Macaca mulatta: one gene and its partners. Each later gene encodes a partner of the first gene's protein in a complex. Links are inferred from orthologs where the notes say so. Each region holds a gene or a part of one and is shown on either strand. Other genes may lie near its edges.

Region 1 (4,605 bases):
GGTAATGAGAAGGAAAAAGATCCATCTGGGTCTCCAGGGAATTCTGGTGGATGTCATATTAACTGCCTTCAGTTTGTGGAAGGCAGCAGATGCAGTGTAAAATACATAGGCAGAGAAACCAGTTTTTTGGACTGGTGTTGCCTGCAGGTTAAATAAGACCCAATAAAGACATCTATCTTTTAGTTTCTTGTTAATGATTTTGGAGTAAGGTTGGGGTTCAAGAGCCACCTCTGCAATTTACACGTAGTGTGAAGTGTAAAATGGGCATCTCATTATTTACAGGATTTTGAAAACTACAGGATTTAGCACAGTGCTTAACATAGAGTAAGTGCTCGGTAAATGGTAATTTACAATCTGGAGATAGAGCAATAACAGCTCCTAAATGTGAAAATGACTTTCAGAGTGTAAAGTTTGACTGCTTTATCTCTGTTGTATCCTGTATCCAGAATAGTAAAACCGCTGAACAAGTTTCTTTCCTCATGCGCAATTGGAAATAAAAATAAAAGCAACAGTAGTAACCAGTTACTGAGCACTTAATATGTGCCAGATTCTGTGCAAAGTGTGCTGATCGAATTTTTAGAACTCTATAAGGTAGACGCTGTCTTCATTCTACACTTAAGGAAACCCAGTCTCCAACTTGCCTAAAGTCACCGAACCAGTAAGAAAAGGGCCAGAAAGCAGTTTGACTCTAAAGCTCAAATTCTTAAGCACTGACCCTTCCAACCTGACCTTTCAGATTGAAGGTGGTTTGGAATGAGTCTGGCTCGCGATGGGACAGAGAGGGAAGTCTAAAGGATTAGGAGGCTGTGTTCAGGCTCCAGGCCGAATGGGGTAGGGCCGGAAGATCTGGTTGTCCTACCCAGAGATCACCGCCCGCGCCCCTCACCTGAGACAGGAAAAGGTGCCGAAGAGCGCCCCGGCCGCCATGCCCACGGCGCAACCCATCACGAAGCCCATCTTGACGCGGTCGAAGCAGCTTGGCTGGGACTGTCCGTAGGGACCCACGGCCACCGGCATCTGCGGGGGATAGGAAAGTGTGGGCCCAGGCGCTGGCCCAAGAGTCGGGCGTGCACGGAGGCGGCAGGCGGGAAGTGGGCCCAAGGGCTCGGGGGAAGTCAGGGAAGGAAAATCCATGGGTAGCCCGACTCCAACACCCTCTTCGCGTTCCGGCCCCGCGTCGCCCTGCGCCTACCTCACCTAGCTCGCGGCCTCGGTCGCTCAGCTCTACGTCTCTCCCGGAAAACGACTGGGAGGGCGCTCGAGGCCCGATGAATCGCTTCCGGATCGCGGGGAAGCACTTCCGGGAGCCTGGGGCCCAGGACCGTAGCAGCTTCGGAAGGTGGGCTCTGCCAGCGGGACCATGCTGCTCCGAGCCGCTTGGAGGCGGGCGGCAGTGGCGGTGACAGCGGCTCCAGGGCCGAAGCCCGCGGCGCCCACTCGGGGGCTGCGCCTGCGCGGTACGCTCGGGTCCCGCTCTCCGGGAGGTGCGGACCTGTCCCCTCCGCGCGGCGACGCAACTGAATATTCCGGAGCCTTCCTGTCCACCCTGCTGCCCAGACTCTCTGACCCTTTCTCTCAAACGACACATCCCTCAGACTTTCTTAGGCGGGTCCCCGAACGGTTGACCCCGGCGCACCACCCCTCGCACCCTGCGCGACAGGCCCCCAGAGCCGTGGAGGCGCGTCCTTCAGACCGCTCCTGGCCAAGTTACAGATGCTGCTCTGGGCTCCCGTGCAGACCGTTAGCTTCGGTCAGAAGGGGCTGCACCTACTCTGGCTCCACGTTCCTTCTAAATGGCTTGGCCCTTTACAGTCTTCCTCCCTAGGAGGCCATTTGAATATCACCTCAACAGCCCCTCCAGGAACCCTCTCTCCCTCTCCTTTACCTCCTTTTACAGCGTGTCAGGTATCTTCTGCTGTTTTCTTTCCATTGAGATTCGACCCCAGCATCCCTTACACTTATCTCACCCCCAGCCAGATTTTTCCTTCTGCCCTTTGGATGCCATGCGTTCATAGTTGCCTTCGGTCTTACTTGGCCACTCCATTCCATTTTTTGTCAGTTGGAGATCATGCTCCTCAGTCTGCTGTTCCCGCAGATACAACCGCTGCCCCGGAGGCGGGGCCAGTGCTGCGACCTCTCTATATGGATGTACAAGCTACAACTCCTCTGGTAAGGATGGAGCTTTTCCCAAGGCTGTTTATTAGGAAGTAAATGATGGGCGTGACCACGCAAAGCAATGGCTGAATCCCTGGAGAAGTGAGAGCCATGAAGGTGTGCTGGAAAAAGCACTGAGCCAGGAGTCAGGAGGCTTAAATTTGAGGCCACTGGCAGTGGCTTTACTACTCACCAGCGATTGACCTTGGTCAAATCACTTCAGCGCAGGCTCTATCGTAGTAGTTGAAAGCATGGGCTCTGGAATGAGCAGAACCACCACTTAGTAACTGTGTGAACTTGGACAAGTTTTAAATGGGTTAAAAGACTAATGCAAGTTTTCACCAGTGTGTGACAAGGGGTATTTGCCTAGGCCCTGTCCTGTCCCAGCCCCTTGTAGATCACATTGCCTGGCGGGAATGGAAACACCAGCAGAAACATGTCGGAACAAGGCAGTGTTTGTAGACTACCTGAGGGGAGGCAGAACGATCTGAGTTGGGATGGGTTGTGAGTGGGAGTGTATTAGGTTGATAGTTGGTGGGTAGTTTTGTGGGAACAAAAGAATGTTTGAGGCCTCCTCTAGGCAGTGCCTGAGGGGTTCAGAGTGTCTTGAGGCAGGGTGGGCAGGTCTGAGGGGTGGAGGGGGACCTGAATTGACTATGGTCTCAAGGAAAATGATCTGTTCTGTTGTGCTCAGGACCCCCGGGTGCTTGATGCCATGCTCCCTTACCTAATCAACTACTATGGGAACCCACACTCCCGGACACATGCATATGGCTGGGAGAGTGAGGCAGCCATGGAACGTGCTCGCCAGGTTAGTACACAGGAGTCTAGGAAGTTCTAAGGTCAGACGGGGCAGTGGCCTGTGGGAGGCATTTCCTTCTTGGTAGGTGTGCATGGATGTAGAAGTGGTTTTGGATTCTTTCTGGAAGAGATTCAGAGAGCAGCCTTGGAGTTTGACTGCAGGCATCTGATTAGTTCCCATATTTCCTGGCTAAATGACTTGGGCAAGTTATCTAATTTCTCTAAGCCTTATTTTCCTCACATTTAAAATGGAGATTCTACTCTGTAGGGTTACTGGGTGGGTTAAATAAGACCATGTTGGTAAAGTGTTTATTAACACAACACCGATAAGTAAGAAGTACTATAAGTAGTAAGAGCTCAATAGTTCTTTTTTTTTTTTTTTTTAAGAGGTGGAGTTTTCACATGTGTTGCCCAGGTTGTAGTGCAGTGGTGCGCAATCTTGGCTCACTGCAACCTCTGCCTCCCAGGTTCAAGTGATTCTCCTGCCTCAGCCTTCCAAGTAATAGGTATTACAGGCACACGCCACCACGCCTAGCTAATATTTTTGTATTTTTATTTATTTATTATTATTATTTTTTGAGATAGAGTTTTGCTCTTGTTGCCCAGGCTGCAGTGCAGTGGCACAATCTTGGCTCACTGCAACCTCCGCCTCCCAGGTTCAAGCAGTTCTCCTACCTCAGCCTCCCAAGTAGCTGGTATTACAGGCGTGCGCCACTACACCTGGGGAATTTTGTATTTTTAGTAGAGATGGGGTTTCTCCATGTTGTTCAGGCTGGTCTTGAACTCCTGACCTCAGGTGATCCACCCATCTCGGCCTCCCAGAGTGCTGGGATTACAGGCGTGAGCCACCGTGCCCGGCCTAATATTTTTGTGTTCTTAGTAGAAATGGAGTTTCACCATGTTGACCAGGTTGGTCTCGAACTCCTGACCTCAGGTGATCTTTCCACCTTGGCTTCCCAAAGTGCTGGGGTTACAGGGGTGACCCACCACACCTGGCCAATAGTTAATTAAAAAAAAAAATTATTAGTTTGCATTGGGCTGGAAAAGAGCCTGGGATCTGGGATATAACTAGAATTTGATTCTAGTAGGTACAGAGCTTCATCCAGGGCAATTTGGTGAATGCAGTGGAGCTCTTCTTGCTCCAGGGCTGTCCCACCTGTGTCTGCAGCTCTATTTCTGCCTGGGGAACTGATGTTATATATCTCTGTTTCTTGACTTGCAGCAAGTAGCATCTCTGATTGGAGCGGATCCTCGTGAGATCATTTTTACTAGTGGTGCTACTGAATCCAACAACATAGCAATTAAGGTAAGAGAAGGGAACCAGAGGGCATATGTGGGCTTTCCTGACCTGGGAGATAGTGTCCATCCACCTCATTTGGACTCGTATATGTATTTCACAGCCACCCATCCCCACCCTATTGTGAAGAGACGGCTTACACTCTTTCTGATTTGTTGCTTCCTTTAACTCTTTGCAGTCTACTCTTAAGTCTTTCCTCCTGTTGGTCTGAGTTGAGTGAGGTAATTGGATAGCAAAGGAGGTGGCCCTCAGGCCATTAACCATTTGTCTGGCAGTTACTTCAGAGAGTGGATAATGGTGATTGAACCGTTTCTCCATTCTTTTTTTTTGAGAGAGAGAGAGTCTCACTCTTG
Region 2 (4,905 bases), on another chromosome or scaffold:
CCATCACTTAGTATGGAAAGCAAGCCCAAAGCCCTTGGGGAAGGCCCCAATGAAACTTCGTGAGTGCCAAGTTCCAGAGGGTGGTCCTAGGACTCACCACTTAACTCTTGTCTCTTTTCTAGATTCAAGTGGATGAAAAGGGGAAAATTGTGGATGCTAGGTTTAAAACATTTGGCTGTGGTTCTGCAATTGCCTCCAGCTCATTAGCCACTGAATGGGTGAAAGGAAAGACGGTAAGGTTGCTCACAAATCTGACAGAATGAAATTGCATTCACCCCAAGCCTGTCTCTTGACGGGTCTAATGGGTCAAAAACAACCATAACTTTTTTTTAATATTCTGAATTTTTAAAGTTTCTGCTATACAGATGTTGATTATATTAATTCTTCAAATTGGGAATTATAGATCATTCTAGATGATGTTTGGGTTTTTTTCTTGTTGATCATTTTGTTTGTTTGTTTGGGTGTTAATTACATACAAAAAAGATCCTCACCTGTCCCTCTAACAAAATAGAATTTAGAAGAAATCTTTGGCTTTCTCTAAGGTTACCAATACTCTTATAATTTGTCAAGTCAGAGAGTTGTTATATGGTAGTTATTTTCTTGCTTATTTCCTCTCATGTTTCAGGAAGGGTTCTAGGTGGCTTACAAGGATTGGTGAAATAAACTAGCGTGTGTTAAAAGAGGGATTAAAGAATCAAAAACACAGCAAGGGTAGGGGCAAAGTGAACAACGAAATCAGAACAGTGATCCAGGTGGCTGATCACAAGCCCTCTAAAGGCAGAGATAATAAAGAGCTAGAACTTCTCTTTCATCCCTTTCTCTCCGAAGTGTCTTTCCCTGGTAGCTGCAGAGGTCAAAGGTCCCAAAAGCAGTGAAGAGCTGGACTTTCTAAAATCCAGTTGCTGTCAGAACCTCTCAGAAAAGCCAACCATCATGGCACTCATCTTTGCTGCCCCAAGGGACCAGGTGCAGGGAGCTGAGTCATGGAGGAGCATGCTTGGGAGCTGGCCAGCTCCACGGCAGAGCGGTTTGCCAGGCCACGTGCCACCTGCTTCCTGTGGCTCACGGCCTTCTGGCTGGCAAGCTCCTGTGGGCCAGGAAGCTCAGACCTAACCTGCTCTGGCAGGAGGTAGCCCTGAAGTGGTTTGTCAGGAACTGTCCTCAGGTGAAGGGAGAAATGAGACAAGGCACTTATGCTCCCAGAACCTGGCTCTTAGGGGACTGTGAATTGTGATCAGAAAATGGGAGAGAGAACATTTCTTTAACCTTTAAACTGAGATCGCCTATCTGAGTTTCAGGAGCAGAACCTGAATCAGCCAAGAAGGGTTAGCAGAATTGGGAAATTGAACGATAGTCAGACATAGCAAAGGAGCCCAGCTGTTGGGAAATCTGGTTTTCTGTAAGGCGGTGGGGCACTGTTCCACATGGGCGAGGATCTGTTTGCCTCACATTATCCCCCCCGGGCTGTCAACCAGAACCCAGGCGTCCTCCTCAGTTGATCTGGAGGAGCTGCTCCTATAGGCAAAGGGTGACACCAGAGAGAGCGTTCAGCCCGACCCGGCTGTGCCACTGCCACTGTGCCACTTACCTGACATCTTCCCAACCTCTCTGATGCCATGTGGCACTTCTAGTCAAAAGGATTTATTCTAACATTTCGTATGAGGACATCAGAGAAGCTGATATTCACAAAACCAGTATCGGAAATCACTACCTTTTAAGGAAAAGATTCCTGACACAGGCCACAAGCAGATCCCTAAGAGACTTCTCACCGGTTCCACTCCTGGCTTAGAGAAGTGTCTGGGCGGTCTTTGCTTACCCAAGCCAGGCAGTGCAGCTGTGTATACTTCATGCTTGAGAATCCCAGCTGCAGCTTTGATAGAGTGGGAGTCATCCTGAGAAGACCCTCAACCCTTTGAGTTATTAAACAGAAATTATCCCCACCAACCCCGAGGGCCTTTTTGGCCTCCCTTTTTTATTGTCTGGCCCTCACAAGATAAAGCGTTGCTAAAACTGCCCGTCTTTCCATTATGCCTCTCAGGTGGAGGAAGCCTTGACTATCAAAAACACAGATATCGCCAAGGAGCTCTGCCTGCCTCCCGTGAAACTGCACTGCTCCAGTAAGTCTCTGCTCTCCATACCAGTCAGCTGGGACATTTGGCAGTAATTTCAACTTGCATTTGCAACAGTCCTTTTAGGTCATGGAGCCCATGTTTATAACCCTCAGAATTAGAGCTCATGAGTCTGTCCTTACAACCTGCAGAGGGTTAGAGCCCCCGTGGTCTCACATTCATCCCTAAGAAAATCATGCCAGAAGGAGATATGCACCAGCCATCATACTGAGCACTTGATGGGCATCATTTCTAAACCTCACAGATATCCTTGAGTGCACAGTCGATGTCATTACTTTCCTCTTATGGATGAAGGAGCTGAGGCTTGGGTTGAGACACCCACGTCACATGGCTAATAAGTGGGAGAGCCAGAATTTAAGCTCCAATCTTTGATTTCAGAATCTGCTGTTTCTAGCAGAGGAGAAAACTCAGCTTTCTCCATAATCCCGTTTCCTGTGTATTTCTTCACTTCCTGTCTGGATGCTATAACTGTCAGGGTCTGCATCTGTATATATGGCACAACTAAGCCCAGTTGTACAATGTCCCCCTCTCTGCTATCCTAAAAAAAAGCTCACATGCCTTAAGACTTGTACTTGGCTTTCCAGTTTGGTCTCTGTATTAAATCTAATGCTTTTTCCATCATTTCTTAACCTTCTCAGGGAAAGAAGGAATGAGAAACATTAGCCTTAATGCATCGATGGAGGTTTACTAACCAAATTAGTTAAAAATCAGCAGAGAGTCAGGCCTCTTGCCAGGGTAATACTCACAAGGAGAAGAGCCAGGTGCCGGGGCAGACACACTAACTCATTCTTCAGGAAGCCTGGTCAGACCCAAGTTCTTTCCACTTGATCTGGAATTTTAAGTACCCATAAAGAAAGGTCATCACTTGTAAACATTTTCACATGGTTTCAGGAAATCCCTAGCCCTTTTATTAGGCATTTTTAGGTACTGAAACCTTTAGCTGATGTTCTCTGCTATTTGCTTGCTTTCTGCTGTCATTCCAGCTCTCTTGGTTTTTATTTTCCCCATAGCCTCACTTTGAATATTGACTCCTAAATAAAAGTGGTCAAACTCTCGATCACTAGAGGGTGATGTGGCAAATGCCATCCCATCAACAGATTGACATGATCTTTTTTCCAAAGGTCATGTCAACTTTTTATCATGATATGATTTTGTCCAAAGCCAGACTTTGATGGGAGCAGGCAAGAACTAACATTTGCTATGTCCCTACTATGTGTTAGACATCTTCCGTAAGTCCCCACACTATCCTGGCAAGAAAAGCATGATTATCCCAGTTCTATAGAGTAGAAAGTAGGTTCGAAGAGGCTAAGGAACTAGCCTGGGATCACAGATATTTAAACCCTAGTCTGTCTCCAGGATTACCCACAGGAGTAACTCAGCTCAGTAAGTAGCTGCTGACCTGCCCGGCAACTCCTCACCCCAGCTTTCTGTCTTGGTTACCCCGTTAGTCCCCACCAGCACCACTTCCTCTAAGCTCTTAAAGATTCTATTCCCAAAACCACTTCTTTCGCATCTAGAAACTTAGGCTTCTTTCCTTCCGTTACCTGTAGTGCTGGCTGAAGATGCAATCAAGGCCGCCCTGGCTGATTACAAATTGAAACAAGAACCCAAAAAAGGAGAAGCAGAGAAGAAATGAGCCCTCCCTGGGAGAAGCCTCCAGCAGGCCACACCCCTGTTTCCCACCTGCCGTGCAATCACCTTAGATGTTCAGAAGCCGCTCCCTCTCCACTGAAGAGCTATGAGATACGCACAATACTTGCTGTTCACATTATGACTCTCATGCAAGCAAAATACACAGTTTCATTGTTCTGAATCCCGTGGTTTCTTTCAGTCCACTTTTATCGCCTTAACCTAGTTAATGTGTATTTTGAATTGTGTGTATGACCTCAGAACTGAAATTGATAAGTTGCAAATGTTGATAGCCCATGAAGTACGTAAGTATCTAATTTTACCTGAATTGATTTGGAGGGAAATTACCAGTAGAATGCCTTTGTCTGAATATTTGATAGAACTAATTGTTGTACATAAAACAGATCTGCATATATATAAAAAAATAATAATAAAACAATGGAAGATAATGGTGTTCTCTAATAAGCCTTGTCTCTTGGGCCCATCATTCACTCCAAAGTGGTGCCCAAAGCCCCTTGGGGTTCCCAGATGTTGGACCGCAATGACATACACAGCTCTCCAAGCAAACAACAGTAAAGGTCATGTACAAGATTTTTTCCAAAGACAAATACACATAATATTTTTTTGGAACAAGGATGAAAGGAGATGATTATCGCTTTTCATTGTTCTTTGTGAGATAATAGTTGACAGCTCGAAGTGAGTCTTGAAGATTCTTTTTGTAATTTCACTGGTTGCTCAAATCTAAGAAGCATTGGCTTAGCACCCTAAAGATACGTGAAGAGCACCTCGGGAATGAGTTTAAAATGCAGATTTCTAGGCCCAAGTTTCTGACTTCTGTCTGGGCAGGTAATTCCAGAGCCCCTGACTTTTAAGAACCACTTTAAGAACCAAGGTCAGGCCGGGCACGGTGGCTCAAGCCTGTAATCCCAGCACTTTGGGAGGCCGAGACGGGCGGATCACGAGGTCAGGAGATCGAGACCATCCTGGCTAACACGGTGAAACCCCGTCTCTACTAAAAAATACAAAAAACTAGCCGGGTGAGGTGGCGGGCGCCTGTAGTCCCAGCTACTCGGGAGGCTGAGGCAGGAGAATGGCGTAAACCTGGGAGGCGGAGCTTGCAGTGAGCTGAGATCCGGCCACTGCACCC
Region 3 (4,678 bases), on another chromosome or scaffold:
ATCCTGAAACCCTCCCTTGACCCGGTCCATGGAAAAGTCATTTTCCATGAAATTGTTTCCTGGTGCCAAGAAGGTTGGGGACTGCTAACCCAGGTATGGGATAGCACTGGGCAAAGTATGCTTCTACAAAATGTCACACAGCAATGAGACCTATTTGGGTGGCGGGAGGGATGGGAGTGGAGGCTGTGGGATGAAGAGAGTTGGGAAAACTTTTGTTCAGAGAAGGTCACAATTGAGCTGAATCTTGAAGGAAGAGGAGGCACTCTAGACAGGATAAAGGTCCCGCTGGATAGAACAGTACTTGCAAAGGCCTGGAGGTCCAAGAGGACGTGGCACATTTAGGAAACTGCAACAGATGATGACAGAGGACAGGATGCACATGTGGGACTTGGGCTGAGACTGGAGGAGCAGACAGGGCTCCTGCTATCAAAAAGTGGCCTGTATTATAGGTCTTGCAAGCGAGTTCCAAAGTATTTAGTTCACTACTCCAATTACTTTAGGCACCACAATTCGCAGGTCATTAAAAAATGTTTCCTAGTCTACTTTTGATTACTTATTCAGCACTACCTGTGTTAGTTTTGATAGGTAACTTAACCTCCCTGTGCCTCAGCTGCCTTACAGGGTAATAAAAATAGTACCTACCTCACAAGATTATTGTCAAAACAAATGTGTTAATAGACGTGAAGAACATAAGATAGCAGTGGCACACAGAATTGATAGTGGATGTTGTGTTGCCATTGATTTGCCATTAGTGACAAACAGCTGCTGAGATTAGAAAGGACAAAGGGACTGTTCTTGAAATTCACAAGACACAGCCTTAATGTAAAAGAAAGGCATATTTTATAACAAGTAAGTTTATCTAGGGAGGTAATAGTAGCAGGTATCTAGGTTTTTAGGTCCATGATCTCAGGCAACAGTATAAAATGATTACCAGACTCCTTTGGATAATATATTTATATTTGGATAATAAATTTAGCTTAAAAGTATATGCTTATAAAGTATAATTTGAACAATTATTTTCTGAACGCATATGATCTTACAGTTGCCCATACTGAAACCCATTTTCAATTTGCTGCCTTTCAGGTACAGCCTTGAATGATTTTCCTAAAGTTTGAATGATTTTCCTCTTCAGTTGGCAATTACTCATTTGAAAACACTTGGGCCTCATTTGCTCATAAATCATTTCCAAACAGAATTTCAGAAATGGAAGGGTCCTTAGAGATTGTCTAGTCCAACAGTCTATTTCATAAACAAGAAAACTGAAATACGGAGATTGAATAACTTGTCCAAGTTATAGTCTTCGAGGGCTCCACCTTGACTTTCCTACGTGCTCTCACGTAAGACTCTCACTGCCAGTGTGAACTGCCTACTGATTCCAAGTCCTTGTGTATCCTGAGTAAGCTTTATGACAAACTATCTTACTCCAGACTATGGTGAAATCAAATGCTTTCTATTTATTTAACTTGCATATTTCATGTGTTTCCTCAACAGACTTGGTTAAGTACTTGATGCTAGATGTTTGGTTAATTCTTGCTAAAGTTCCACCAGTATGCCTATTATTACACTCTTTATCCTCCAGAGTCAAAGTCATTAAGTAAAATCATTCTCTCCCATGAAATTTTACCACTTAACTGGGTGGATACAACCTCAGTGGCATGACACTGATGCTGTTTTCAAATTTGCAGGGTGAGTACATTTTCTAGGCAGGTTTCTAAAAATTTGAGAATCATTGCTTAAGAGGCTTAGTGTTCCTGTCCTCTGACCGAGGTTGTACTGGGCAGACCCATCTCAGGGCCTGCCAGCTCACACACCTGGTGGAGCGCGGCCTACCTAACCAGGTGTGTTCCAAGGGTAGGCTCTGCTCTTATGACATCCAATCCACAGTCTGGCCAGTCACCTAAGGGGGCCTTGGGGTAAAGAGATGAGTTGATCCAATCCGATTCTTATGGGAATATGGCTCAAACTCAGAGAGGAGCAGGTAGTTAGTAAAAACAAAACAAAACAAAAAACAAACCTAAAAAAAATGCAGAGAGAATCCATAAGAAAATGATGGGTCACAACCAGCAACACTGTGAAAGCAGAGGTTCTGAATTACAAAAAACATACAAAGAGTAACAATAAAAGACTCATAGGCAAATAGGGAAGTGGGGAGGCGTGGGAAAAAGTGAATGTGTTATATTAACGATGTAAGAGTTTAGGCCCTCAGTATTCTGCTGTCAAGGTCCAGGAAGCGGGATCTCTGTCTGGTGAGCCAGGATAAACTGTTTCAGCTCTAAAGCTTGAGACGCTTTTTCCTTTACCGCTACACGTTTCCACCGTACCCTAAATAGAATGGATTTGATTCTTGCAACCAAAAGAACTCATTACGACACCCAGGAAATTTTAGGGAGGTGCTAGAGTGTGCCTTCAGTTTTGTCGCTGTGTGCAACTCACTGGCCACTTCCACTCTCAACTCTTCCAGCTCAAGGGAAGTTTTACATATGCAACACATTGGCCTTAACTTCACCAATGGCTGATTTCCATCCTTTTTTTCTCTTCTGCAGAAACATAACACTAATTATGCTCCTAGAACAACTACCAAGATAGTCGTTAGGGGGAAAGCGTCACAGGACACGAACGTCTTCCCTGATAGAAACAAGGGCTCCTCCCCGAGGTCTCAGAGGCCACACCTGTAGGTAGGAGCACGCTTTTCGATGGCGGAGCCCGGTCCTTGCCTCGCGGACGCCGGCGCAGGACAGTGGCTCCCAGTTCCCGGGGACATTCCACGGCAACCCACATCCCCGGTCCCCGGCCCCTGGCCCCCGGTCCCCGGTGCCCGCTGGGTCACCTGTAATTGTAGGAGCTGAAACGCTTGCTCTCTCTCAGCATCGCCCGGTACAGATCTAACACTTGTGCGCGACTGGAGGCTGCCATTTTGGAAAGAAAAAAAATTAACGGGTCCTCTTCGCCGAGGTCCCAAGTACGACCCAACCTCGGAACTCCAGCCTGTGCAGAAACCACGCACGAAATAAAATGCAGCGGCTCGACCTTGCCAGCGGGCCGGTCCTAAGCCTAAGCCGGCAGCCCTGCGGACCGCAGACCGCGCCGGGCGTCCCGCGCCGCTTCGGGGGCGGGCGAAGGCAGGGCTCGGGGCAGCTAAAGGGGCGGTGCAAGGAGGGAGATGCCTCCGCCCCGCCCCGCTCCCGCTTCCGCCCCCGCCGGGAGGCTCGGGATCCAGCAGCATCTCCACGCGGCCGGAGGGCGAGAAAATAAGAGGCCCGGCCGCCCGTGCATCCAGCCAAGCTCCTGGGGGACGGATATTGGGGGTCCGGGCATTCGAGGGACGTGCAGTCGCATCACGGAGAGCCTTTGCGAACCGTCTGGGGTTTTGGCGGAGACATTTGTGTTTCGGGGCGCAGCGCCCCTTTGTGCCTTTAGAAGGCCGCGTTGCCCGGGTTACCGAAGGCCGCCGCGTCGACGCCCCGCCCCTGACAGCCCCGCCCACGCTGGCGGCGGCCGCCCTCGCCGCTGCCTGAGAGACCTTGCGGGATTTCAAGGGTGACTTAACTTCGCCCGATCATGGTCGGCAGGGTGGGATTTATTGGCATTCCTTGGGCCGGGGGATGCGACGTCTGGGTGTGGAGGTGATGAGACAGGGGTTCCGTGGCACTCCGGCTCTGCTCAGGGCGACCTGCGTAGGGGCCTCCGGGGCAAGGCCCGCTTTCCGTCAAAATGGCAGCGCCCAGCGTGCACGGGTATCTCTGAAGTTGGGGTTTAAGATTCTTGCCCGTGAGAGCCAACGAGCCTGCCGTGCTTCTGATTTTGAAATACCTGGGTCTGGGTTTCCCGGGCGAGCGGTGGGTGAGTGCCGACCTCGTTGCAGCCTGGGGTAGGACGTGGGCGGTTCGTGTGGTTAGGGGGTTACATTGGCCATGGATTTTTTCCTCTTTCCGGATGTGTTTTTGCTTTTGAGTGAAGAGTCCCCGTGGTTTTGTAGTCTAATAAATGCGTAAAATGCAGCTTGGGCTCTAGACTTTGGAGAATAATTTGAGCCCGTTAGGGCTTTAGGCGTTCTCCAAGAAGCGGAGCAAGTTTTCAACCATGGCTTTCTTCAGAAGACTTCAACTTTTTTGAATCATTTTATTAAAGTGGTGGATAAAGTTGCTTTTTCTGATCTTTGAGCATGGGACTGGACGCTGGAAGCTTCAGCCAGTTCTAGTTACTGTGTTTGCAAAGCACTTTTCTTGTTTTTGGAATCTTGCTTTATGTAATCAACCTTAGGAAGAACCCCACCTTTCCGCACTCGAGCACAGCGAGGAGTACCTTATGCATAAAAACAAAACAACTTTGCATTAAAATCCATCTTTCTCCCAACCGCTTGGTCACGGTTGTGTTCTCATCTGCTTTAGTGTATTTGGTTTTAAAACGATAAACTTGCTGTATATCTAAGCAACTTTATATTTTCAGGAACTTTTTTTTCCCTTTTATTTATTTATTTATTTTTTTGAGATGGAGTCACTCTCCGTCGCCCAGGCTGGAGTGCAGTGGCAGGATCTCGGACTCACTGCAACCTCCGCGTCCCGGGTTCAAGCTATTCTCCTGCCTCAGCCTCCCGAATAGCTGGGATTACAGGCGCGCGCTACCTTGCTGAGCTAATTTTTGTATTTTTAGTAGATACGGGGTTTCACCATATTGGTCA

The links.
Region 2: the proteins of NFS1 (region 1) and ISCU are in contact, whole or in part, in a crystal structure (PDB 6W1D), measured with the Homo sapiens proteins. The link is inferred for Macaca mulatta from reciprocal best matches to the Homo sapiens genes NFS1 and ISCU. Residues at the interface, in NP_066923.3 of Homo sapiens: Tyr360, Val361, Glu362, Glu364, Ser365, Leu367, Met368, Ala369, Lys371, Glu399, Asp400, His403, Ser404, His429, Arg432, Leu433, Glu435, Met436, Ser437, Pro438, Leu439, Glu441, Met442, Trp454, Thr455; in NP_998760.1 of Homo sapiens: Tyr35, Val40, His42, Tyr43, Glu44, Val49, Gly50, Ser51, Leu63, Val64, Gly65, Ala66, Pro67, Ala68, Cys69, Gly70, Val72, Lys74, Phe90, Lys91, Thr92, Phe93, Gly94, Cys95, Gly96, Ile99, Lys135.
Region 3: the proteins of NFS1 (region 1) and LYRM4 are in contact, whole or in part, in a crystal structure (PDB 6W1D), measured with the Homo sapiens proteins. The link is inferred for Macaca mulatta from reciprocal best matches to the Homo sapiens genes NFS1 and LYRM4. Residues at the interface, in NP_066923.3 of Homo sapiens: Leu56, Arg57, Pro58, Leu59, Pro68, Leu69, Pro71, Arg72, Leu74, Asp75, Leu78, Glu314, Tyr317, Arg321, Asp372, Arg412, Phe413, Thr414, Thr415, Glu417, Glu418, Tyr421; in NP_065141.3 of Homo sapiens: Phe23, Tyr26, Asn27, Tyr28, Thr30, Tyr31, Arg34, Arg35, Asp38, Val65, Arg68, Gln69, Ile72, Thr78, Asp79, Lys80, Leu81, Ile82, Ile83, Asn85.

What each region holds. Positions count from the first base shown.
Region 1 is NC_133415.1:88,511,567-88,516,171, reverse strand, and holds the start of NFS1 (cysteine desulfurase), read left to right. Parts: upstream 1-1,296; 5' UTR 1,297-1,360; coding exon 1,361-1,484; intron 1,485-2,059; coding exon 2,060-2,169; intron 2,170-2,848; coding exon 2,849-2,965; intron 2,966-4,177; coding exon 4,178-4,261; intron 4,262-4,605. Other genes in the region: ROMO1 (reactive oxygen species modulator 1), read right to left, coding at 887-1,017.
Region 2 is NC_133416.1:115,693,596-115,698,500, forward strand, and holds the end of ISCU (iron-sulfur cluster assembly enzyme ISCU), read left to right. Parts: intron 1-122; coding exon 123-233; intron 234-2,038; coding exon 2,039-2,117; intron 2,118-2,505; coding exon of another isoform or gene 2,506-2,552; exon of another isoform or gene 2,553-2,567; intron 2,568-2,767; coding exon of another isoform or gene 2,768-2,820; exon of another isoform or gene 2,821-2,835; intron 2,836-3,679; coding exon 3,680-3,765; 3' UTR 3,766-4,177; downstream 4,178-4,905.
Region 3 is NC_133409.1:177,929,977-177,934,654, reverse strand, and holds the start of LYRM4 (LYR motif-containing protein 4), read right to left. Parts: upstream 3,122-4,678; 5' UTR 2,914-3,121; coding exon 2,828-2,913; intron 1-2,827.